3 linked regions of the Oreochromis niloticus genome follow. The protein of the gene in region 3 binds, or shares a complex with, the protein of the main gene of each other region. Links are inferred from orthologs where the notes say so. Each region holds a gene or a part of one and is shown on either strand. Other genes may lie near its edges. The genes, in order: slc15a2, akap10 and pdzk1.

What was found.
Region 1: the proteins of pdzk1 (region 3) and slc15a2 are in contact, whole or in part, in a crystal structure (PDB 6EZI), measured with the Homo sapiens proteins. The link is inferred for Oreochromis niloticus from reciprocal best matches to the Homo sapiens genes PDZK1 and SLC15A2. Residues at the interface, in NP_001188254.1 of Homo sapiens: Asn386, Gly387, Tyr388, Gly389, Phe390, His391, Leu392, Asn393, Ala394, Ile395, Arg396, Gln407, Tyr436, Glu437, Val440, Ile443, Gln444; in NP_066568.3 of Homo sapiens: Glu723, Thr724, Lys725, Lys726, Thr727, Lys728, Leu729.
Region 2: the proteins of pdzk1 (region 3) and akap10 are in contact, whole or in part, in a crystal structure (PDB 3TMH), measured with the Homo sapiens proteins. The link is inferred for Oreochromis niloticus from reciprocal best matches to the Homo sapiens genes PDZK1 and AKAP10. Residues at the interface, in NP_001188254.1 of Homo sapiens: Asn386, Gly387, Tyr388, Gly389, Phe390, His391, Leu392, Asn393, Ala394, Ile395, Arg396, Phe402, Lys404, Tyr436, Glu437, Val440, Ile443, Gln444; in NP_009133.2 of Homo sapiens: Pro655, Leu656, Glu657, Lys658, Ser659, Thr660, Lys661, Leu662.

What each region holds. Positions count from the first base shown.
Region 1 is NC_031987.2:26,202,267-26,210,116, forward strand, and holds the start of slc15a2 (solute carrier family 15 member 2), read left to right. Parts: upstream 1-4,768; 5' UTR 4,769-4,919; intron 4,920-5,009; 5' UTR 5,010-5,101; coding exon 5,102-5,110; intron 5,111-6,919; coding exon 6,920-7,007; intron 7,008-7,850. UniProt on the Homo sapiens protein: Proton-coupled amino-acid transporter that transports oligopeptides of 2 to 4 amino acids with a preference for dipeptides. Transports neutral and anionic dipeptides with a proton to peptide stoichiometry of 2:1 or 3:1.
Region 2 is NC_031975.2:9,534,319-9,541,951, reverse strand, and holds the start of akap10 (A-kinase anchor protein 10, mitochondrial), read left to right. Parts: upstream 1-4,625; 5' UTR 4,626-4,844; coding exon 4,845-4,866; intron 4,867-7,623; coding exon 7,624-7,633. Other genes in the region: eukaryotic translation initiation factor 5B, read right to left, coding at 59-405; lg10h11orf54 (ester hydrolase C11orf54 homolog), read left to right, coding at 1,155-1,221, 1,309-1,407, 1,597-1,670, 1,763-1,864, 1,997-2,173, 2,394-2,543, 2,631-2,747, 2,882-3,055. UniProt on the Homo sapiens protein: Differentially targeted protein that binds to type I and II regulatory subunits of protein kinase A and anchors them to the mitochondria or the plasma membrane.
Region 3 is NC_031987.2:19,838,268-19,846,261, reverse strand, and holds the start of pdzk1 (Na(+)/H(+) exchange regulatory cofactor NHE-RF3), read left to right. Parts: upstream 1-4,891; 5' UTR 4,892-4,984; intron 4,985-5,903; 5' UTR 5,904-5,906; coding exon 5,907-6,113; intron 6,114-6,228; coding exon 6,229-6,442; intron 6,443-7,224; coding exon 7,225-7,557; intron 7,558-7,641; coding exon 7,642-7,838; intron 7,839-7,918; coding exon 7,919-7,994. UniProt on the Homo sapiens protein: A scaffold protein that connects plasma membrane proteins and regulatory components, regulating their surface expression in epithelial cells apical domains.

The sequences.
Region 1 (7,850 bases), about 6.4 Mb from region 3:
TTCCTCCACTACTTACCAATTTAACAAGATAAACTGGATGACATTCAAACATACCTGCCTGGCCACCCTCTACATTGACATCTTCACCCTTCTGCACTCCTTCATGACTGAAGAATTGTAAAATATTACTATTAGTATTACTATAGTTAGATAAATATCTACTATATTATAAAAAAATGATATACTATTGGCTGAAAATGACAAGCGGTGGAGGAATTTTTCAAACCATTTCATTGGGAGCAATAAAACACTATGAAAACACCTTATTAAACAAAAAACTGTATTAGTGGAAAATTGTGCATAAAGTATAAAAACTGAGATAATTATTCTGAAGAAAATTATTTCTCATCAATGTTAAATGGATTAATATTACTGCTATATATGTTTAAGGGTGACCTAATTTTAAATACTTTATATTGTGTTTAATGTCCAGCTCCATTCATAAAATATATTAATTATGAGTTTGTAGTAGCTGTCCAGTGAGGAACTCTGAAAAACTGTTAGTGGTTCATGACCACAGAAACAAAAATCTACATCTTTATTTCGCACAAAAAATAGCATTCAGCACAAGCAGAATTAAAAGGATTGAGCAATGTGTGACGTGGTTAACTGTCAATATCTACAGGGTGATTTCAAATATGAATGAAAAATGAACGTGGAGTGTTGGCAAAAGAGATGGTTAAACATTTAGACATTCTCATAGATGCTACTCTGAAAGTGCTGGCTGACCCTGCACCTGGTACACTTGCCTGTTTTTATTAGACTGGACAGGTTCAGAGACATCGTCACAGCTTTCCTTGTTAATGTACTAAAGAAGTTATTAAAAACTTTTTCATGCTCAATCTTCTTTACATCATATATGTTAACCAAGCGAGGTTAGCAAGAGGGAACTTCTCTGTTATGATGCTAAATCATTGAAGGTGGTTTGCTTGCTAATGCACACCATAACTGATCTCAGAGCAGTAAAAGCTGAGCTAGCGGCAGCTTGCCTGTCAGACCAGTGGTTTGTCCACAATGCACATGTGCAAACCACAAGAAAAAGAGTTTCTGGCCTCTCAGCCTGCCCAGCTTTAGTCATCTGTAACAGGAGGTGTAACAGGAGGTGGACGCACCCTCAGGGACTGACAAAGCTGTAGTCTCCTATGAGACTGAAATAAGCACATCTTTCAGTGACAATGTTAACAGCGGTCACAAGATGGCAGTAACGTAAAGGCACACGTCAAGTGAAAGAGAAGGAGCTTTATGGCAGTGCTGTCTGAGGTGAAAGGAGAGAGATCACTTTACTTTGGTGTGTTTTAATTTTTGTGTATGTTCAGACTTGACAACACACACACAAATACACACACACAAGCAGTATGTAATCTTGCTTTAATTAAGGAACATGTCTGTCAATGCACACACACAAGTAGTACTTGTGTGTGGGTTTGGAGGTTTGATGTGAGTTCATTTATGTAGAAATTGGGGACCTATATCAGCTCACACACCAGTTCATTTGGGACTACTGTCCCCAGTTAGATTTGAGGCACATAAAATATTTGTATTTAGGGTGGGATTTTTCTGTGTTGTATTGTGTATGTGTGTGTGGTAGTTCTGAATGTTAACGTGCATGGTTATCTGTCTCTCTGTGTTAGCCAGAGTTGCATAAACAGAAGGACATTAATAGGTGGATACGCCCAATCAATGATCATGTCTGAAAATAAATCTATACTGCACAGGTTTTTAAAGGCATTTTAACATAAAGTAAATTTTCTTCAGGAAATCCATCATTTTAAGTTTAAATTTTTGTTTTATTGCTGATTGTTGGAAAGTTTTAATGTTTACTGTTAGTAGTATGTACTGTCGTAGACCAATGCTGCCCTCTTGTGGTCTGTTTTGTCACTGAAGACATTTTTCATTCACGCCTTACTCATTTTCTTTCTTTACAGAGACAATCGATTTTTTTAAGCTTCTTTAATGTGTCACTGTCCAGACATAGCTTTTATAGTCACAATAAAATGATCAGGTGGCCAGTGAGCAAGCAAATGTTTAGCTGTGTTTTGGTGACTTGTTTGAACAGCCATGTGATTGTTATTACCACTTCCATTAGCTGTTCGAAAAATGTTAATCCTACACTTACAAGTCATGACCCACAAAGTGATTAATAAATCCCTACATGTCAAAAGGTTGTGATTGTTTGGATTCTTTTATAATCTGTTTAATGCTGTATGTTCAACTAGAAAAAGTCTCTTTTCCCCAAAGAACTTTGTGAGCCATAACACCAGTAAGGTGCTCAGATCCTGTGGGCTGCAAGCCCAAGAAGAAGAAAAAGAAGAAGACAAATCCTTTTATTGTTAATATGTGCATAATGAATTTTTGTTCGGTAGCTCTTGGCACAGAAGAGAACACCCTTTTACATACATAAATATACTGTACATAAATATACAGATACACTATAAGACAAGTGAATGCACACTATCCATGTGTGCAGGTGTGCAGAATAAATGTGCAAAAAGTCAGAGAATTGGATTTCACAGCTCTGGGGAATGAAGCTGTCTCTCCAACCTCAGGCTGGTGGTGCGTTTTCATGTTCCTATACCACTTTCCTGAAGGAAGCAGTAAAAAACAGTCCATTGCCAGAGTGGGTGAGGTCTGCAGCGATACGTCTGGCACTTTTTTTGGATCTGTCTAGGGTTCACCGAGTCCAGATGTGGAAGTGGATTTCCCACAATCCCTTGTGGTGATTTCATCACCTGGGCCAAGTTCTTTCTGTCTTGTGCTGTGCAGCTGCCATACTACACAGTCATACTAAGACAGATGATACTTTCTTTTGTGGCTCCGTAGAAGTTCATGAGCAGCTGAGAAGAGAGTTTGTTCCATTTTAGCTTCCTGAAGAAGAAGAGCCTTTGCTGGGGACATCACACCAGGTGTGGTGTGTTCAGGGACCATGTTAGGTCAGATGTTATGTGAAGACCCAGAAACTTGATGTTGTCCACACGCTCTACTGCCTCTCTGTGTATGAGGAGAGGAGCATGTTTTGTCTTGCTGGACCTCCTGCAATCCACAATGACTTCCTTAGTCTTGCTGCTGTTCAGGACAAGGTTGTTGTCTAAGCACCACTGTGTCAGTTATTGGACACCCCTCCACTTTGGTCTGATTTGTGCAAAGGATATTGTTTGCACAAATCAGAAATCTTTTGGTTCGTTCAGATTCAGCTTTGGAAAAAGAAGCAACCCAACGAAACAACACCCCTCTTTTTAAGACTATATTTCAGTTAGAAAAAACACTGTTTTAGAACAATTACTTCTTTGTCCAAATGTTGGCACCGGTAACTTGTTACCTATACTTCTAAACTTTTGGCTACTACACTGGTTGTCATTAATGCCAGCACAGTGTTGGCCAGTGGTGGTTTTGGGGTGATGTTCAAACAGCCGGAGCTGATATCTACTGTTTCCTTAAGTCTCATCTCTCAAGGTTTGGCATGTTGCATGGGATGTTATACCAGTGGTTCTCAAACCTCTTCTGGTATGATCCATTTCAGAAGAATATTAATAGAAAATATTAATAGAAAATCCAAATAAACATTTGTTTAAAGTAAGTATGTAATATATATATAGCATCATAAAATTCTTATTTATTTATTTTCTCCCTCTCCGAAAAATAATTCTGGTCAACTTTATTTTTTTTTCTCCTGGTTATCTGTGCCCCACCTACGATTTCAGGCTAATTTGTCTGTTTTGTTGTTTGCAGTTTTTGACCAGTGTTATAAATAGTGGATCCAGGCAAAGTAGTAGAAAAATGATACTTTAAAAAAAAGAAAGAAAGAAAAAAACTTTTGGAATGAGTAAAGCATGTTCTACTTGAAAGCAATCGAAATTGGCTTTGTATGTAAGACACTTTCAGTAATTTCGAACAATGGCACTGCAAAAATTTTAACAGTTATTTCTGTATCTGTGAGTTTTAAAATCATGTGTGTTTTCTAAAAGTCCAAGCACATTTGTTAAGTATTAATTTGTTTTTTTAAACAATCTTTTATTAAAAATGGATAAAGTGAACTCCAACTGTGGCGTCTTTAAACCATTTTTTAATCTTGTGCTGTTTTGCTCATGTTTAAATTTAGCAGACTTAAACAATTGTGAAGATCGCAAAAAAAACTGCGTCTAGTGGTGGTGACCATTAGACCACATTAACACCACACATCCGCTCACAGCAGCAACATTTCTACAACTTCAGAAGACATTACTCACATAGCCCACATTAATATATTATACAAATACAAAAATACACCACTATACAAAGTTCACTAACATCTAATGTTTTACACTATGTGGGCATCCTTTTTGCTCCCAAATGGAATACGGGTCCCCACAGTGTGACAGTGTAAAAGTATATATATGTGTAAAAGACGCATGTCCCCACAATATGAGTAATACAAGTACACACACACACACACACCTTTGTGGGTACATTATCGGGGATGAAACAACAGCTGCAATTACTTTGACATCATGTATTCTCTAGACTTATAGGTTTACCTTTAATATCATTGAATGTCTAAGCCTAACCCTTAAACCCATCCCTCAAACAGCAACTAACTAACAAGTGTACTTGGGACACACGTCCACCACCGCCACCGCTAATATTACTCAGGGTGAATAAAAAAGAAATAAATGATACACTCGAAGTCATCCAACCAGAGATATGCGCTTTGACCCGCACATCCACAACACTTTGACCCTCCATCCCACAGTCAGGTCTGCGGCTGAGTGCAACAACGACTCTATTGTACAAGTAGATCCCGCTTCACTGCAACTTGCGGACCTCCCCCCCAAAAAGGGAGTGAAACGCGTTGTAAATATACGCATATATAAACACTCATCTGCTACCTCCTTTTTAATATTTCACAAAAGACCGAAGTCCGGAGGCTCGCTGCTTTTCCTGAGGTAACAAGTCCAGTTTTCTGTGGTGGAATATTAACTTTAAGTGTGCTTTAAGAGTGTAAGTGTCCGAGGTTTTTGCATCTGTGCCTTCAGTGAGCGGAACGGAGTGGGACGGACTTGGATGATAGTCAGGAGCTCCCGGTGCTGCCGTAAAGATCCCAAACTCTCGCATCTAATAAGACAACATGGGAAAGGTAAACATGCTGTTTTGTGATTTTTTTTACTGATTATGCGCTGAGTTGCTCAGTTACTTTTGTTGTGCGTCTCTGATTTTTACAACGCAAAGATGCGTAGTAAAAGAAAAAAAAAGAAAAAAAAGAAAAACAAGAAAAAAGAAAAGTTGTACGCGGGTTGGAACGCGGGGACATATGGGAGCAGACGGTGCTCGGGACGTCTGTGGAAATAAAACACGCAAAGATATGTTGTTGACGTGTATGCGAAGCATGCAGAAGAGGGCTATGGAGACAGAGGGAAGTCTGCTTTGAGACCAAGCTCCCACTGAAGCGCTATGCTAAATTATTATTGGTAAGATGATGCAACAGGCACCCCCTCCCCTTTAAAAGTAAACCCACACTAACTGCTGTATGGAGAAAGCTGGTGCCACATGTGGCCTGAGCGATTATGTTTTTGGAGATAGCAAATCCGTTAAAGGATCATTTTTAATATGCTTACTGTGCAGATTTATCATGCAGAAAATGGACAATATCTACCACGCTTTGATTTTCCTCAGTTGTAGAAAACTGTTGATACAGTGAGGTAAAATAATATAACAGAGACAAGCAAGCAAGCAAGCAAGCAATTTATTTATATAGCACTTTCAGATCAGCCCCCAGCTGAACACAAAGTGCTGTACACTTGACATGCCAAAAATGATACATTGAACATGTTAAAAATAATAATAATAATAATAATAATAATAATATAAAATAAATAAAATATATATATAAAAAAAGATTATTAAAATGACATTTAAAATAATAAAATTGAATGGACTCATGTTGAAAATGAACGGAGTCTGTTTTTCTGTTTTTTCTTTCTTTCATGTTTTCATGCTTTGATTAATTGAAATTAAATGACACAAAACCAGAGATGGTGATGGGAGTAAATATGTTCGTTGCACATTTGGTAAACAAACCCTTAAATTAAGTTTTATCAATTAAAAAAAAAAGAAAAAGAAAAAAGAAACATTACCAAGTAGGGACGCACCAGTCTAACTTCTCTTAGTAAGTGTTTATCTACTTGTATACACTAAAGTGACTGTGACTCACTGACTGCCTAAAGCTCACTGAATGAGGCCATGGACCTATGATGATGATGATGTTGATGATGATTAAAACACTGAGCTCATATTAATTACATCCAGCTCCAGATCAGTGAGCACATCATTACCAGTAAAATTCTACAGAAGCCTCCATTTTTAGCAGCCGGTTGTGCAAAGTGTTTTACTGCTTGTAGGCAGTTTATATAGAGGTGTAAGCACATGAATCATATACCTTTACATATCAGGGCTACAGCTGATGTAAATGATACGATCTGACAGATGACCTAAATTGTCAAAATGCTCTCAAGCAACAGCGTAAAGTTGCAGATCATTGTTAATCAAAACATCCCACACGGTGTTTAGTTGAATACTAAACATCCACTGCAGAAAAATCCACTCAGATCTCAAGCGATGGATATTTTTCTTCGTTTTAGCTGAGCCTGGTCTCATTATAGCGTTAAACCTATAAAACTTCTATTTCTGTGTAATGATTAACTTCAGTATCTTGTGAGATTGACTAACAGGAAGAATATATCAGCTACATTCCTCTCTTTTCATGTCAGAGTATTCTCTGTTAAAGAATAAAACTATTCACTGAACCTGCGAGTTATTGTTTATATTTGACAAAGGTGGGGGGAAAAAGATTAGATAGTGGATTCTGGATGTGCTTTTACTTCGGTGTGATTGTTGGAGAATAATGTGCGTTGAACTTCATTCTGTTAATACATTTTGCTTCTTTTAGAAACTTTTGGGGACCAATTACCCAGTCAGCATCTGCTTCATAGTGGTGAATGAATTCTGCGAACGCTTCTCCTACTATGGCATGAAAGGTATGCAAATAAAAGCCTGGGTGATATTACAGTGCAAATCTATATAAAGCCTGAATAAAAGTAAGGTTTTCTGGAATCACAGAGTAATTTTAGCTTGCTACATTACATATTATGAGTATTATTGGGGCAATATAATAGAGAGGCATCAAATAAGGTCTCTCTTGTTCCCTCACACGACCTCACTTATCTCCATAAGTGACAGATTTACTTCAGCCGGATCACACACAAACACAGATGTAAATACACCACGCAATTTCCTGCAGTTTTAAGCTGATGCACTGTGTCCACAGTTTCAGCTACTGACAAACATTTTTCCTCAATCCGAGTGAACTTAAGACTCGGGGGTTTTATTTAATTACACTGTCTCTAAAATGTGAGAGAATATAAAAAAATAGACCCCAAACATCTCATTTATTTCAGTCATTAGTAAAAATACCAACAATATTAATTTTACTAATAAATAAAAGAAGAGAAATCGCATCAGAGAGGTAAGTGGTTTGAAAATAATGGATTACTGATATTCTGTAACCATCAGAATAACCAAGTTGTTTTGGATTTATTCTGGTGGCCTCTACGGTAATTTAAGAGCTACAAACTAGCAGAATTGCAGTCAGCCAGGAAATGCCATCTGCTGACGGAGATCAAGAGTTGAGTTGTTGTCGAGTGCTCGGGAAAAGCTAGGACGTCTGTTTTGAATGAAGATGTTGCTTAGTTAACAGCGTGAGTTGTGATGTTGGCTTTAGCAGCACACAGGGTTCATCTTAAACTTTCCCAAGCGACTCTCGTGTCTGTTATGACTTATTTATTAAGAAAATGTCCCAACAGCTTTTTGGTTTTAGGTTA
Region 2 (7,633 bases), on a different chromosome or scaffold from region 3:
AAAGACATTTAGATACATTTGTCAGAGTATCTGAGTCGGAGTGACCTCCACTCCTCACCTGTCTGCTTCAGCGGCCTCTCCTTCAGTTGCACCATCCTCTCTGTTCTGACTCGAACAGAGAACAGAAGAAGACTCGATAAACCGCGAAATTCTCTCCACATGTTCAGGAGGCAACGTTTCCAGCACAAAATCCGATGGATCCGCTGTAGCAATTTCGGCAACAGCGTCGGATTCAGTCCACTCATTGGACTGACCCACTTTCGCCATCGTAGGACTCACTGAGGGATCCGTGAAAAATCTTAGACATGAAACACGTAAATACAAGACTTCACCAAAACACGCAAAACACTCCACATGCGATTTGACCTGGAAGTGTTTAGACGTCACCGAGGTGACGACGGCCATCTGACCAATCGCCAAAGAGGAGGCAGACGATACTAAACGAATCAAGAGGTTACAGTGTTTCCACTTCCGGTTTTTGTCTCCAGCTGAGCTCTATATAAGATATTTATTTTTCTTGTTGGTTGATGGCTCCTACGTCAACTCGACATAATAATGAGCCTCACACAGAGATATAATTTAGATTAATATTGTAATTAGCAGTAATAATGGTATTAGTTCCGTTCAGACAGCACGAGCAGCTGGTTTTCTGTATGAGACTGCAGCAAACCAGCTTACACACTACATAGATCCACAGCCTGTCCAGCAACTTGTGACAAATGTAAAGTGTCTCCTGCTGTGTGAATCACATTCATCGTCTGTGTCGTAGTCTGCATTATTTAATGAGCTCTATCTTCAGATATTAGCTTTAAATGTAACCAATTATATGAACTGGTGTGCAGTTCATAGAGTTGGGAGATTTCCCGAGCCCAAAGACCCCACTTCTAGAGCCAAGCCAATAATAATGCTTTCCTTTTTATCTAGAGGGAATTATTAATTATTAAGGCGAATATGGGCAATTTTTGTTCGATTTTTTAAGTGAAAGAAATAACCAGTGTCTTTAAATTGGATGAGGAAACACTTCCGGGGAGGCTTATCATCTTGTTCATATTTACTCTTTGTTTGAAGTTTAACCCAGGTCCTGTCCGCTTTTCTTATCCACTTTCCCTGCACCTCTAAACTGTGTCACAGCGCGCTCACTCTCAGGTGGATCTATGGCAGACACCAGCAAAACCGAGAAGGTTCAGCTGCACGCCCCAGATCTAGAAGAGCTTCGTGGCGGTAAGCTCTGATATATAAGCGCAAAGTTGTGCATGTGTGTTCATGTGACTGGGCGCTAATGAAGGTGTTGTTGCTGATTGGTTGCAGTATTACAAGCAGGACTGGAAACCAACTTTGCTGAAGTTCAAGTGAGTGTTGTGGAGTGTCCGGATCTCACCAAAGAACCCTTCCAGTTTCCTGTCAAAGGTAGGAGCCTATCAAAAACACAAGTGTGATTAAAAACTAATCCTTCTTGTATGTTCCACTACGTGCATAAGCATTTTGGTCAATTTAAAACATTTCATAAAACATGCATATGAGTGGGGATGAGCTTCATTTGCAGACTGTGTATCAGAAACACCCTGAAAGATTCTTAATTTCGCCTGTACCCTGCAGGCTTGTGTGGAAGCCCTCGCATCACTGATGTTGGTGGTGTGCCATATCTGGTGCCTCTGGTCCGAAAGGAAAAGGTAATTTTTAAAATAAAAGAATTGTATTGAGAAACTTTAGTGAAAGGTTTTGCTAAAGCATATTCAGCATCTTCTTCTTCTTTTACTGTCAGGAATACAACATGAACACTGTATCAAAGGAGCTGGAACTTCCGGGCGCTTTCATCCTCGGTGCAGCAGCTGCGCCCAATAGAATAGTTGGAATGAACGCAGAGGTGAATTGCCTTCCTTCTAATCCAAAGCGCTTCACTCAGCAAATGACCTCAGTATAAACTAGCTGTCATTCTAATCTTGAAAGGGCAGTTTGGTAAGTCAGCAGTCAGTGGAATGAATGTTCTTGTCCACAGCTGATGCCTCTGGTTCTGACCGAGGCGGAGGGAAGGCCCGCAGTGAACAGCAGCTACTTCTCCTCCATCAATCCAGCTGACGGCCAGTGTCTGCTAGAAAAATACAGCGACAAGTTCACAGACTGCAACTTTGGGCTGCTGGGAAATCTGTATGCTTGTGAAGGGAAACCTGGAAAGGTAGTCAATCGTAGCCTTTTAAAAAATGCACTCTCATCCTGATTTGGCTTTTGGAAAATAATGAACTAGTTATACTTAAACATAATTACCTGTAAGTTAATAACATTGCTGATGTTGTTTTGGGTGAACTTTAGCCCCATGTAATGAGAGAATAAACATTAACAAGAGATCAGTGACTAAACATGCTGAGTTGGTAGTCTTCACCCGTGTGCCTCTGCAGGTCATAGAGATTCGGGCAAAGACGAGAACAGGAAGCCACAGTCTGGTGACGGCCTTGCGGACGACCCTTGAACGTCATTACCCTGATAAAAGTCTGGCCCTGGGAGGCACCTTCATCATCCAGAAAGGGAAGGCTAAAATCCACATCATGGTAAATAGTGGACATGACACAGAGCATGTTACAGACTTGCTGCTGACACAGCCACGCGATTTGATTTGTTTCCTTGCCTGTCAACAGCCAAGAGAGTTTTCAGTCTGCCCCCTCAACACCAACGATGACGTCAACAACTGGCTCAAGCACTTTGAGGTCAGCGCTCCACTCATCTGCCAGTCGGTGCTCGTATCCAGAGACCCTGTAAGTTAAAGCCGATAGACTCACACCTCAGTGTGATGCAGAAATATAAAAAGATCTGATTATAGTTTTATTACCTGATTACAGTGTTTTTGTTCAGTAGGCTTCTTTGTAATGTCCGCCTGGTTGCTTTGCAGGGCCTGGACCTGCGTGTGGAACACACCCACTGCTTCAGTCACCACGGAGAAGGTGGCCACTACTACATAGACACTACACCTGACAGTGTGGAGTATCTGGGCTACTTCATGCCTGCAGAGTTTGTCTTCCGCATCGACAGGCCGAAGGAGACCCACGGAGTCGGACGAGATTGAAAAACTGCATAAAACATGTTGGCAGCAGAGAATCTTCTGATAATCTAAACTGAGACGACTCATTTATTCATTTAAAGCATGTTACATTTCATACATTAAAAAAAAATATCACTGCACATGAATCAATAAAATAAAAGAATCCCAATGAAGTGATCTGAATTGTGTGAAGAAAAAAAAAGGTGGACAGTGACATCACAATGCTGACGTACTTTGGACCTTGGCCTACATTAATGCTTGCCAACTCCAGTGCAATCAAAAAAAATTGTGCAACGTGTTGCAGGCTAGACTGTTGCAGTAGGTAAAGCTGCTTAGAGAAAGCTAGCTTTTTAAAACCCTCCATGGCCAACCTGCCCACATCCTGGATTCACTTATTTGTATGATTAGGCCTCTTGTGGGTGTGTGCACAATGTGCTTGATTAATATCCACCTCACATCGCTTTCTTATACTTCCACTTGCTGAAATAGGGTAGAATAGCAGTGTTGGTGCTTAGAAAGACAAGTGGTGTAAGCGTATAACTGTGTACACCTAACCAGTGATACGGTTTTAAAGTAATACAGGTTTTAGTGTTTTAAATCCGTCTTGTGTCATTTCAAATAAATCTTTCCTCAGCAGAAAACTGTCACAGCAAAATCGATGGAAAGATGTGTTACTTGTAAAGAACTTCGTTTTTTAATTAATAAACTAAGACAATGATTTTCTTCTGAGTGACTTTTTTGTTTGTGTTGTAAAATAACTATATATTGTGTTTGGTAAGGTTCAAATAAGCTGTGGGAAAGGCTGAAATGATTTTCTGTTGGTACCAAGGGGTCAAAGTGTGCCAAGAAAATATCCCTCACACCATGACACCAGCCTCAACCATTGAGACAAATAAGGATGCATGTTTTTATGTTGTCTACATGAAATTTTGACCCTTCTATTCGAACGTTGCATCACTAAACATTCATCACCAGGCCACGTTTTTCTAATCTTCTATTGCCTAGTTTTGATTAGGGCCTGTTTGCTTTTTTTAACAGACAAAAGTGGTACTTGGTGTGGTTGTCTACTGCTTAGCCCATCTGCTTCAAGGTTCAAAACGTGTGTTCAAAGATGCTCTGCATACCTCGATTGTAACAAGACAGTTAAATCACCTTTCTTCCCTATTCTGATGTTCTGTTGGAACTTCAGCAACCTCTCTTCGTGTCTGAATGAATTACATTGCTGCCATGTGGTTGGGTGATAGTAGAACTTTGAGGCTTTCTAAATGTTTCCCCCTAGTATTTGGGGAAACCTTTTGGAAGAAACGTTTAAGAAATTCTCCCTAAAGGCTGTTTAAAGGTTCTTGTACAGCTACATGTACAGCCAACAGGCATACAGGCTTTCAATATTATCATACCATGTTTCCAATATAATAATTAAATTAATTTAATGTTTTGTTTTTATTTTATTTAAAAATTTTGAATACCTCTATTAAAATGTAAAAACCAAATCATTTATCAAAGGTGACTCTTATAGCTTTAATATTCTTCACGTGCAAAGAGCGCCCTCTGCTGACCAACGCAGGCGGTACACCATTTCCCACAATGCTGCTGCCGCACCAGCCCGGAAGTGAGACGTTTATTGACAATATGGCTGCCGAACTGGGTTTCGGATTTGCAGAAATGTTTTAATTGACAGCGCTAGCCGTGGCTGCGACAATAACCCGTTTCCAGCTCAGGAGTGTACGCGACAGTTGCATTTGAATGAAGACAACCGCGAATCCACGGGATGGTGTCAGTGAGCTGAGGAAACGTCCAGAGTGTGAATCCCGTCATGTCGTTTTTCAAGAGGAAAGGTGAGGAAAAAGCTCCCGCTGAAGGCTGCAACGTCGACGGTAGTTAGCGCCGCGGAGAGGGGTGCCCGATAATATGTGACTGATGAGGTTGTCGGTACATAAGTTAGCCGTGTAAACTGAGACGTTTGAGGGAATGCGTTTCCTCCTTTGCTGCTGCTCCTTACTGCTTTTACATGATTAGCTTAGCGCTGGCCTCCCTGCCCCCCCACCCCCCCTTCCTGATTTATCTAACTTCATGTTAGCCGGGGTGGCATTAAATCCACCACAGAAACCTGCCACAAGTCTACATCAACGCCTTCCTGTATGCAGACATAATTCAGGGCTTCCAGAGCATCAAAGGAACACTGTTATCTGCTCTAAAGCAACGCTTGTGTCGAAATGTTCAGTAGCAGCTAGCTAGCTCTGTTGAGGTATTTTCATACATACTTAACAAGCAAGATATGTCAGAAATATTGCCGGTGGCAGGTTGTGTCTCAGTCAGAGCTGTTAATTATCAAAAGGACACACGTTTCCTGTAACACATTTGGCTGTAGAGAACCTGGAGTTGGCTAGTGCTAATTTCCAGTCACTATTGTGTAGAACCTAGATGGGCTGGGCCTGCTTTTTTCTGTATTTTCTTGAACACAACGTGACAATGAATTTCAGTTCAAAGCCCCACAGTTTAACCTCTTTTGTGGTCATTGTGAAGGCTGGAGTCACACTGACAGGCGTCTTTTGTGTCTGGTCTACATCTTTTTTTAAAGTGGGTGGGCAAAATGTCAGATTCGCCACCACCTACAAATGAGCCCTTCTCTGAAACCCTGTCAATCAAACTGAAAATTATAACATTAAGGGGGATAGAGTAGGTTTAGCAAATACATTTGGAAAAGAAAGAAAGGACTTTATTTTTCTGCTGCACCATCCTACAACAGGTGACAACAGGTTTGTCTGATGCTTTTGATAGAAATCACACAATAAGAAAAAATATATAAAGGCCAGAGAGGCCATTAATAATGGAGTCAATAGAGCTCCTGTCCCATTTCCTTAGGAAGCCACCATAATAACTTCACTGCTGAAACTGGCCTGCAGTTTGGTATCCCCTAAAGATTAGTGGGTTTTCCTGGTGGCAGTGACAGTGACAAAAACAGCTGACACAGCAGATCACCAAAATGAGGAAATATAGACTTCACTTATCCATACCCAGAATGCTGCTCAGGATCGACAGGAAGTGAATTTGTTCCTGTTAGGAGGAAGAATTTCAATGCCAAAAAAAGAAGGAAGTGAAAGTTTTACTATTAAATTTGAATGCAATTTTCCACTAAGTCCCAGGCACTCTGTTCATACATTATTGTAAATTATCTTTGTAGTTATTAAAGGTTTATTATTTTATGTTACTATTTTTTTCTTAACATTAGCATCCATTTCACTAACCTGTCATGGTCCTGTAATAACATTAACATTGCGTAAAAGCATTACTTCACTGTAGTTATTTGCATCGTTGTGTTTTAGTCCAGTTGTTTAAAAATGACTGGGGTCCAGACTTTTTAAAAGCCATGTCGCTTCTCTGTGGCAGACAGCCTGTTGGTCTCAGCCAACATTGACTCTTGGTTGATACGCACACACACACACACACACACACACACACACACACACACACACACACTCACTCACTCAGATATGGCTCCATCCCAAATGTCTCACATAAAGAGCATCTTCAGCTCCATTTGTTCAGGCCTCCCGGTCCATTTTGTGATGTCACTGCTTGAAACGGTCGCTTGGCCTGACCAAACTGCTTCATCCGGAGATATGACTGGAGGGTCACTCTGATGAATGGTTGCCACCATGTCTGCCAGCATGCACTCATTCCCCTGCAGGGTTCACACATCATTCTTTTTGGTTGATCTGACAGCTGCAGAGCTTTGGAATGGCTTCACATATCTGCTGTATTATGCACTGTGTATTTTTTCGGGACAATCAGTAAATCTTGGTGACCTTCAGGTGTAAATTAGCTTACAGTCATGTGAAGGAAAACCAGAACTGATAGACCAAGGGCACAAATTGTAGGACTCATGATGCAGACGTCTAGTATAAAAGCCCTGACTGTCTGCACGCTGTAAAACAGCGATTCTCAAACTGCGGTGTATAGAGGCCGTGGACGACCATGCAGTAATCTGAAGTTGAATGAGCATAATTCATGTGGGGAAAGTAAGCAAAAAGATTGCTGATGATGCTGTTTGGAGCTTTTTAAAAAAATAATTAATAATTGATTTAGAACTGTGGGGTCCGTCCTACAAACTTTCTTTATCTTTGGAAGTGGAGGATGCTGGGAAAACTTTGAGAATAACTGTGGTACATAAAGCAGGATGGACATTGTTTTCACATTTTAGAACCCAGTTTCGAGATTTAACCCACATCTGTCAGCAGCAGTGTGGCCAGGTGGAGGAAAGCATATGTAAGGGCTAATTAACTATTAACACAGACTAACAGCACACAGTGTGAAATGACATTGCCACGATAACGACTAACAATGTCTTTTTTTTTTTTGCCTTTTCAATAGTTTTCAGTTCTGCAGATATTATTAAGCAGCCTTTCTTAGAAGTCTGTATTACAGTTCAACAAGTGTTACAGAATCGTTGTTGTGGGAAACACATCCCCACCACACGACATCAACCCCTCAGTGAAATCTCATGTTTTGATTCTTCACCCTCCCTGTATTATGATTCAAAACACTGCTTGCTTCTCCATTTCCAACCACTGCTCTCCTCTTTCTCCCCACAGCCAAAAGCAA
Region 3 (7,994 bases):
CTGGCAAATTCAAGGTGATGACAAGAGGTAATGGATAGTGAACGCATCAGCAATAAGCCAAGCTGAAACGGATTTCTGCCTCTTTCCACTCATCTCCCCTCAGGTTGTGGCTCCTAAATCCTTGAGATCGATTGTTCAAACCTGGCTCCAAACTGGTACTGTGTGTGTGTGTGTGTGTGTGTGTGTGTGTGTGTGTGTGTGTGTGTGAGAGTTATAATCGGAAAGCTCAGTGTGCCAACCCATCAACAGTAATAAGTGCCTGGTCAGGAGGTACGTACACCCCTATGGGGTATCTGAGTGTTCAGGTGCACAGGCAGAAAGATTGAAGTCTCCAGCACAAATTCTGCCATTTCCTGTTGTCGGTCTCACCACGTTGTCACAAACAGACCTCGTCATACTTTTTACATCAGTATAGTATTTACTAAAGCACTGGCTCTCAAAATTGGTTCCAGGAACCCCCAGGGACAATGACCTAGTGTAACAGAGGCTTCTTCAAAATAACTTGCTTAAATCAGAAATATTGCAGACATACAAACGAGAAGCATTAGATCAGTAATGCAAACCTCACTAATATGACACTAATATGATCTTTCATTTGCTTCTCACGGGTGCAGTGAGACATTGATCCTAAGTGATGTTAGGACCAAACCAGCTACAACAATGTTAGTGCCATGAGGGGAATCCTTGGAATAGTTTATTCCCAGTAAAAGGAGCTTTCAACAGTAGATGAAAACAAAACAGCAACAATGTCTACTTTGTCACAGTTTACTGTAGAAGAGGTGGAAGGTATTGAATACACATAATTCAGTTTATTGTTAAAGGTAAGTGCTCTAGAGTAACATTCAACGGGATGGCTCTAGCATTGCACCAACAATTATATCCATACAGTAAAAGCGTGGAGTGATGTGATTCACATTTCTGTGAAGTGCTGAAGGATGGTAATGGATATCCATACATCTTTCCACCAGCAGGTCTGCACATCAGTCAATATACATTACTGTTGTTGGTGGTAATGCGCTATAAAAGGTAGCAGTGTGCCAAAAAAAGGAGGAAAATTATATTGGGGGGAGGGAGACTAATGCAAGCTCAAAGCAGTGACGAAAAGGGTTTTCAACCAGATGTGCTTGATAGATGTTGGATGCATAGGTTATGTTATAGTGAAGATGTAGTAAGGTGGAAATGAGACCTTGTATTTTCTTCTTCTTTTTTTTTTAAAGGGATACACACCTTTGTGGATGTTACCTGGCAAGATATTTGGATCTCATACATGTGTGGAAGTTTTAATATCACCTTGCAAGTGTGACTCAGGATTTCTTTCTGCATTTATGCAAATTCAATAAATATATCTAGAGATTTTTTTAGAAGATGAACTTGCCAGAGGCAGTTTGGTTCTGTGCATACAAATTAATGTAATTTGGGGACTCTAAAGTAATTATTTCCTTTCAGCATGACATACACAAGGTAACTCTCAGTGTGTATGCACATAGTAATAAAATAAAAACAAAATTATACATAGATAATAAGTCAAATAAAATAATACATTGTTAAGTAAAAATCTGAACATGTCAGGACATCATTTGCATAAAGCGCTGCTATAAAAGTTCCTGTGTTATATTGCGCAGTCTCATCATTGGCAGTCCACAGCACTCATATTTGTTTTGACCGTCTACTCAGTGCAGAAATAATTTCTGTTCAAAGACATGGAGAGGAACTGCAAATTAAACTCTACTTTGTGGCCTCGTCAGAGGCCTTGAGAAAGAGAGGACACTACCAGAACCGAATTCTGAGTAGCAGTAACAATAAAACATTTAAAAAGATATTGACAACAAAATCTTGCTGCAGGCACCAGTTTGGTAATGAATAAAACTTTTCTTTTGCAGGCCTTGGTTGTCACCTTTGTGCCATTGTATAACTGCTTTTTACATCCAGAGTTACGACCAGGTTAACAACAAACATTAAAACTTAACTGCGACCAATCCTATCTTGAATTTTTTTACACCACGAAGATCTTTACTAAAAAAATAAATGACCCCCTTTAGTCCACTTTGTTAGAAGACTAGTGAAGTCAACATTTTATCCTTACCATTTTAAGTAATGACATGGAAAAGAGGTACAGAGGGGAATTTCTAACCAGTGGTGACACTAAGGTGGAATTTGTGAAGCTGTTTTTTGGAAAGTGAGACCAATTAACCCCTGGGTCTCAGACTCTTAAAGAATCAATGAATGCTAGTGAGAGCAAACTTCCTGGACACATTATTTTATACAAGTATCTATGCTGACAGAATGGATAGCTAGTCCAGTGTTGTTCTGTCCCTTCATTAAGGTACTGTGCAACAGTCTTGGCCCATAATTTCTTAATATTTTGCTTCCAGTGAGCCGGATGTATTAAAAAGATTTTATAGTGGCTTGATCAACAGTTGTCCAAGTTTTTCTTTGGACATTGGCTGCTTTCCATTTCTTTCATTGAATCTATGAAAAAAAATGTTTGATAGGATAAAATACTATTTTTGCACCAACAAGGTAATTCCCATAGAGGTATTACCTAAAAACTTGGTATATTTCAGTATGGTGTGCAGTGTGTCCTTAAAAAATTTGAGGAAATTGGACACTGGGCTAAAAAACTATCTGCAGCAGATAACAATATTTGAAAGTCATGTGTCTATGAAACAGAAAACCATCAAAGCGAAGACCTAACAAAGGACTTGAGACCTTCAGTTGATCCACATACTGTTCAATGAAGCCTCACCAAAAATTATCTCAGTGGCTGTCAAGAAGGAATTATTGAGGAAAAAGCTGAGGTATGCCAAATTACATAACAAATGAACTGTAAACAGCTCGAATAAGGGTTAATGGAGTGATGACTCCAAATTTTAAATTCTTGATTTTTAATCACCATCAGTATTTACAGAAGAGGTCAGGAGAGAGGAACAAAGGCGAGTGACTGCAGTAAAAACACATTAGAGGCCCATAGTGTTGGGGATGTTGTCAAAATTGACGGATTTACGAACACAGAAAAATACCTTTAGATTTTGATTGACCATGAAATACCATTTGAATAACAACAGCCACATTTTTCAGTATGACAGTGATCCCAAACACACTAACATTGCAGTATAAGCGTACCTAGATAGAAAAGCCCTGTCTGTTTAGCATTATATACTGTATTTTCTTTTGTGATTCATTAAATCACTAGATCTAGTTTACATTTTCCTAGAAAAAAAAGGAAGTGTTGCTCAAGACATTTGTGCAGCACTGCATGTCTCAAGAGACACCATATCATCACAATAAAACCATTAGAATTAGATTTGAACATTATGACCTTGAGGGTGGAGTTTATGACACATTTGTTGAATGAGACTGGATTGAATGTGCCATAATGCAAACACTGCAGCTTTGAGGTGTGTAAATGTAAGAGAAACACCCACATGGGTAATTATCAGGGACGTGTATTGATAAGAACTTAGCAATTCCGATTTCATTGTCCATATTTATATATTCTGCTCCTTATCAGTTCTTTTATTGATTCTCATTGGCTTCTCATTTGCTCCACTTTGAGAGTCATTGCCATCCCTAAGCACCATATCAAAGACATTACATTCATGCAAATTAATTGCATACAAGTGTCTGTGCCTGTTGTAGGTATTTCCCCTATTTGTTGTGATCAGTGTTGGGATCATTACTCATAAAAAGTAATGTATTGCACAAATTACACATAACACAATAATTAAAAGTAATGCAGTACAACTTAATTACTCCCAGGGGAAAGTAATTTTTTACACTATTAAGTAACTTTCATGTTACTCATTAAAATGACCTGAAACTCATTGTTTCATAAATACTACTTAACAAAATATAATCCTGTAGGCTCCAGTCCCAACCTTTCCTAATGAGGACACACGTGGGATCTTTCGCTTTCTTAATATTTAGGTATGAACACAAAGCTGACAGCATAAAGCAAGGATGAAAATCAGCACAAAAAGACTTTAAAGCGATCATCATAGTGATTCTACGTTAGAAACATGAACAGAAAGGTAAGCTTCAGCCTGATTGCTCATCACTGGCTTTGTAACCTGTTGAAGTTCAAGGTCTGGCTGCTGGGATGGGGCCGGCATTCACTCAGCTTTAACATCACTCTGGGTTCTTGGCTAACTTAGCGTTAGCATACTGTTTGCGCAGGTGCTTGCAAAGAGCAGAAGTTGTGTTCTGTCCTGGATGCAGTTTGCACTTAAACACTGGGCTCTCCTCCTTTTGTCCAATAAACTATAAACAAAATGTTCATATCCACACTGTAGAAACTGTAAAAACGAATTTCCTCCTCCAGCACACAAACTGAAATTAGCTGATTAGCACAAGTGCAAATGAAACCAATAAGTGGGCTCGATAGGCGGGCAAACTCAGAAATCAAAGTAACTGAACAACTGGGAACAGGTTCTCCACAAGAACCAGCTCCTGATCCTCATCTCTAATGATTATATTTACATTACATGAACTGGCTTTTTAAGTACTACTGCATGCAAATTTATTGACCTTTTTGCTAGAATAACACAATTTAGGTCATTCTTTGTCAAGTTTTAATAAGTACGCCATCATTTTTTTCATTCAAGTAAAAATTAAATTATGCAATTAAATTGTGCATTTTTGTAGTCATTTCACAATACTGTGTTAGTGATTAAAACTCGAATTTCACAATGCTGTAATAACTGTGTGCTGCAAGGATTGTACATTGTTTTTTTTGCCACCTGCATTTTGTACCTTTGACCGGTAAACAGCTGACTGCCCACCTTGTAATGCCTCTGCAGAAATTTGTGAGCCTAGAAACTGTTAAATAACTCAGCCTTTAGGCTAACCTTTGGCCTGTCAAAGTCCCTGAAGGGGGAAGGAAAAGGGGCGGGAAGGAGGAGGTAGACAGGAGATACATAGATAACAGCTAAACAGTAACAGGTGAGCTCTCCTTCGAGATTCAGACGCCAGGAGAGACAGGCTGGTGAGTATATTATAAACACTCAACTACGCTGTATGTAATTTTGTGTAGTTAGTTAAAATTTTTCAATGTCACATTCAAAACTAGATCTATGCTATCTTATAAATTCATTTTAAGAATAATGGAAAATGTTGTCTTGTCTTGAGGATGAGTGTTTCTTCAGGGTGAGCTGTGTTGCTTGTGTTATAGTAAACTGTTATAAGTCATTATTGAGATTATAGACATAAATTTGTTATTATTTGGATACCGGATCTATAAACAGTGTAATCTTTAAGATGCTAAACTCATATGGTTCGAATATTGCATTCAGTGAAAACATAAATTCTATACACTTAAATTTAGGACAGGTAAAAACATTTCTTTTAAAAGTAAAGGTATAAGGAATACAAACAAAAAAATTATTCTAACCTGCCTGCTTAAATAAAGTCGTTGTTTTTAGCCATTTTTCGTTTATTCAGCCATACAAAAGGCTAAATAAATCAGCCAGTACATGTGCACACACAGAGTGACAAGAACTTTATGACCTTCCTGTATGGGAATAACAATCCAGCAAGAATTGCAGCAGAAGTTCTTATTGTGCATTCAAAGTCCAAGCTGCTTTTTTATGGAGAGTCATCACCACTGTAACCTCTTCTTCTATTAACCATTAACTTCTGTTGCAGACCCAGCATGAAAGGTTAACTGTAAGATTATTGATCTGAAGCAACTCTCCTACTGGTCCTTGAGGTCCAGTAGTAGTTTCTACTCTACTTATATATTTAAAAGACCAGCGGCAGTAACAACGGGGAGGGTGGCGGGGGGCGGGAGGCGTTAAAAAAAAAAGATATGCCTGTAAGTTAAGCATTAGTAGTGACAGGTGTATTTAATGTTATGACTTTACCACTGTGATTGCCATGTGTGTGCTTTTCACCTTTTTTGTTAGGACATGGCTGGGTACAAGCCACGGGTGATTACCCTATCCAAGAAACCAAAACAGACATTCGGCTTCTATCTGAGGGTGGAGAATGGCGAGGAGGGTCACCTGATCCGCTGCTTGGAAATGGGAGGTCCAGCTGAGCTGGCTGGCATGAAAGACGGAGACCGCATCCTCCGGGTCAATGGAACATTTGTCGATGAACGTTCGCATTCTGAAGTGAGCAGGATGTAGAAATACTGCAGTGCATTAATCAAATCAATAACAACTCTTAGACCAGTTCTGCTGTGACAAGCATCTTTTCTTAGAGTCTTCTTCTTTTTTTCCTGGACAGGTGGTGGACCTGGTGAAAAACAGTGGAACCTCTGTCACGTTCCACATTCTAGATGAATCCTCCTACAAGCAAGCAAAAGCCCAGGGAGTAAACCTTTCCAGCCCTGGAAGCAAGCCAGTTGCCAATGGAGTGGAAAAACATCGTCCAAAACCCAAACTCTGCTACCTGGTTAAGTCCAGCTCAAGCTTTGGGTTTTCTATTCGCTCAGTTGAAGGTAAGGAGAGGATGCAGGGACTCCCAATTCTGAGTAAGTGTTAGAATAAAAAAGGCCATAGGAGTACTATTTATAGTGATAAAAGCCATTTGACGCTGGACAGTGGAAGTTTAGATTTGCTAAACTGGAATGGCTTAACTTTGGAAGTACCCATTTATATGACACTTACAGTGGTTCATAAGTTCCAGCTAAAAGCGTATTTATTTGCTAATAGAGCATTTCCTAATGCCTCATATGTATAGTCGCCAATAAGGCTTGAAGATAGTGGCTAAAACCAGAAATAATCATGATAGTGTTGAAGGGAGCTTAAGTATCATTACAGACTTTTGTCCAGCTATCCATTTTATTCCACTTATCCAATTCAGACTGTGCATGAGCCTATCCCTGCTGTCATCAGGCAAGAGGATTCACCCTGGTGCGGACAACAGTCTGTTATATTCCAGTCACAGAAATAGTTAGACAACCGTGCTCATTCATTACAGACTTTTATGTGATTTGCTTTTGGAGTCACCTTCCAGCATGAAGATTTAAAGACCTTTGCAAAGATTTCACTTGTCAGACCCGGACGTTATGTCTAACTTGTTGCAGTGTTTTCTTTGCACTTATCTTTGAAAGGTATTTCAGTAGTAATAGATACAAAAAGATATTATCACAAATTAAAATTAGGATTTTGGTTAAACTTCAAAAGGGATGACTTTTTTCTTTTTAGTCTGTAGAGAACTATCGAGAAAACTGTTCAATTAAGTTTAAAAAATGTCCTTTTTTTTTATCATCATGTCTAGGTGAGCATGGACTTTTCATGACAGAAGTGACCCCAGGAGGCACAGCTGAAAGGGCAGGGGTCAGACTCAATGACCGTCTGGTGGAGATCAACGGGGAAAACGTAGAAAACATCACACACGATGGAGCAGTGGACAAAATTAGACGGGCAGGCAGCCATATCATGTTCCTACTGGTCGACAAAGAAACAGACAAGTTCTATCAGAAGACTCATGCAAAGATTGGCTCGTGGTTAGCCACAACAAAGTACCTCCCTCGAGAACCACGCATCATCAACATAACCAAAGGATCTGATGGATACGGCTTCACCCTTAGAGAGGAGCCCAGTCAAGCAGGCATGGTTATAATGACTATATTTTGTAGATTACACTGTCCAAAGAAGGCTACATTTTAATAATGTGCTCCATGACTCCATGCAGGACACTTCATCAGGGACATAGAGAGAGGCAGTTCAGCAGAAAAAGCGCATCTGAAGGAAAAGGACAGGCTGGTGGCTGTGGATGGCAGAGATGTGGAGAGCTGCAGCCACGAGGAGGTGGTAGACAGGATCAAGCAGAGTGGCAACAAATGTTGCCTCCTAGTAGTGGACAAAGACACAGACCAAGTGTATAAGCTGGTGAGCCAGGGCGCCAACATCTTGTCTGTTAAGTAATCCCTGCAGGTGGTCTAAATTATATCATGTTGTATCATTCACAGGGGAAAGTTTCTCCTCTGCTTTTCATGGAGGAGATGAATGATTCCAACTCACCACCCAGTTACACAGAAGCTGTTA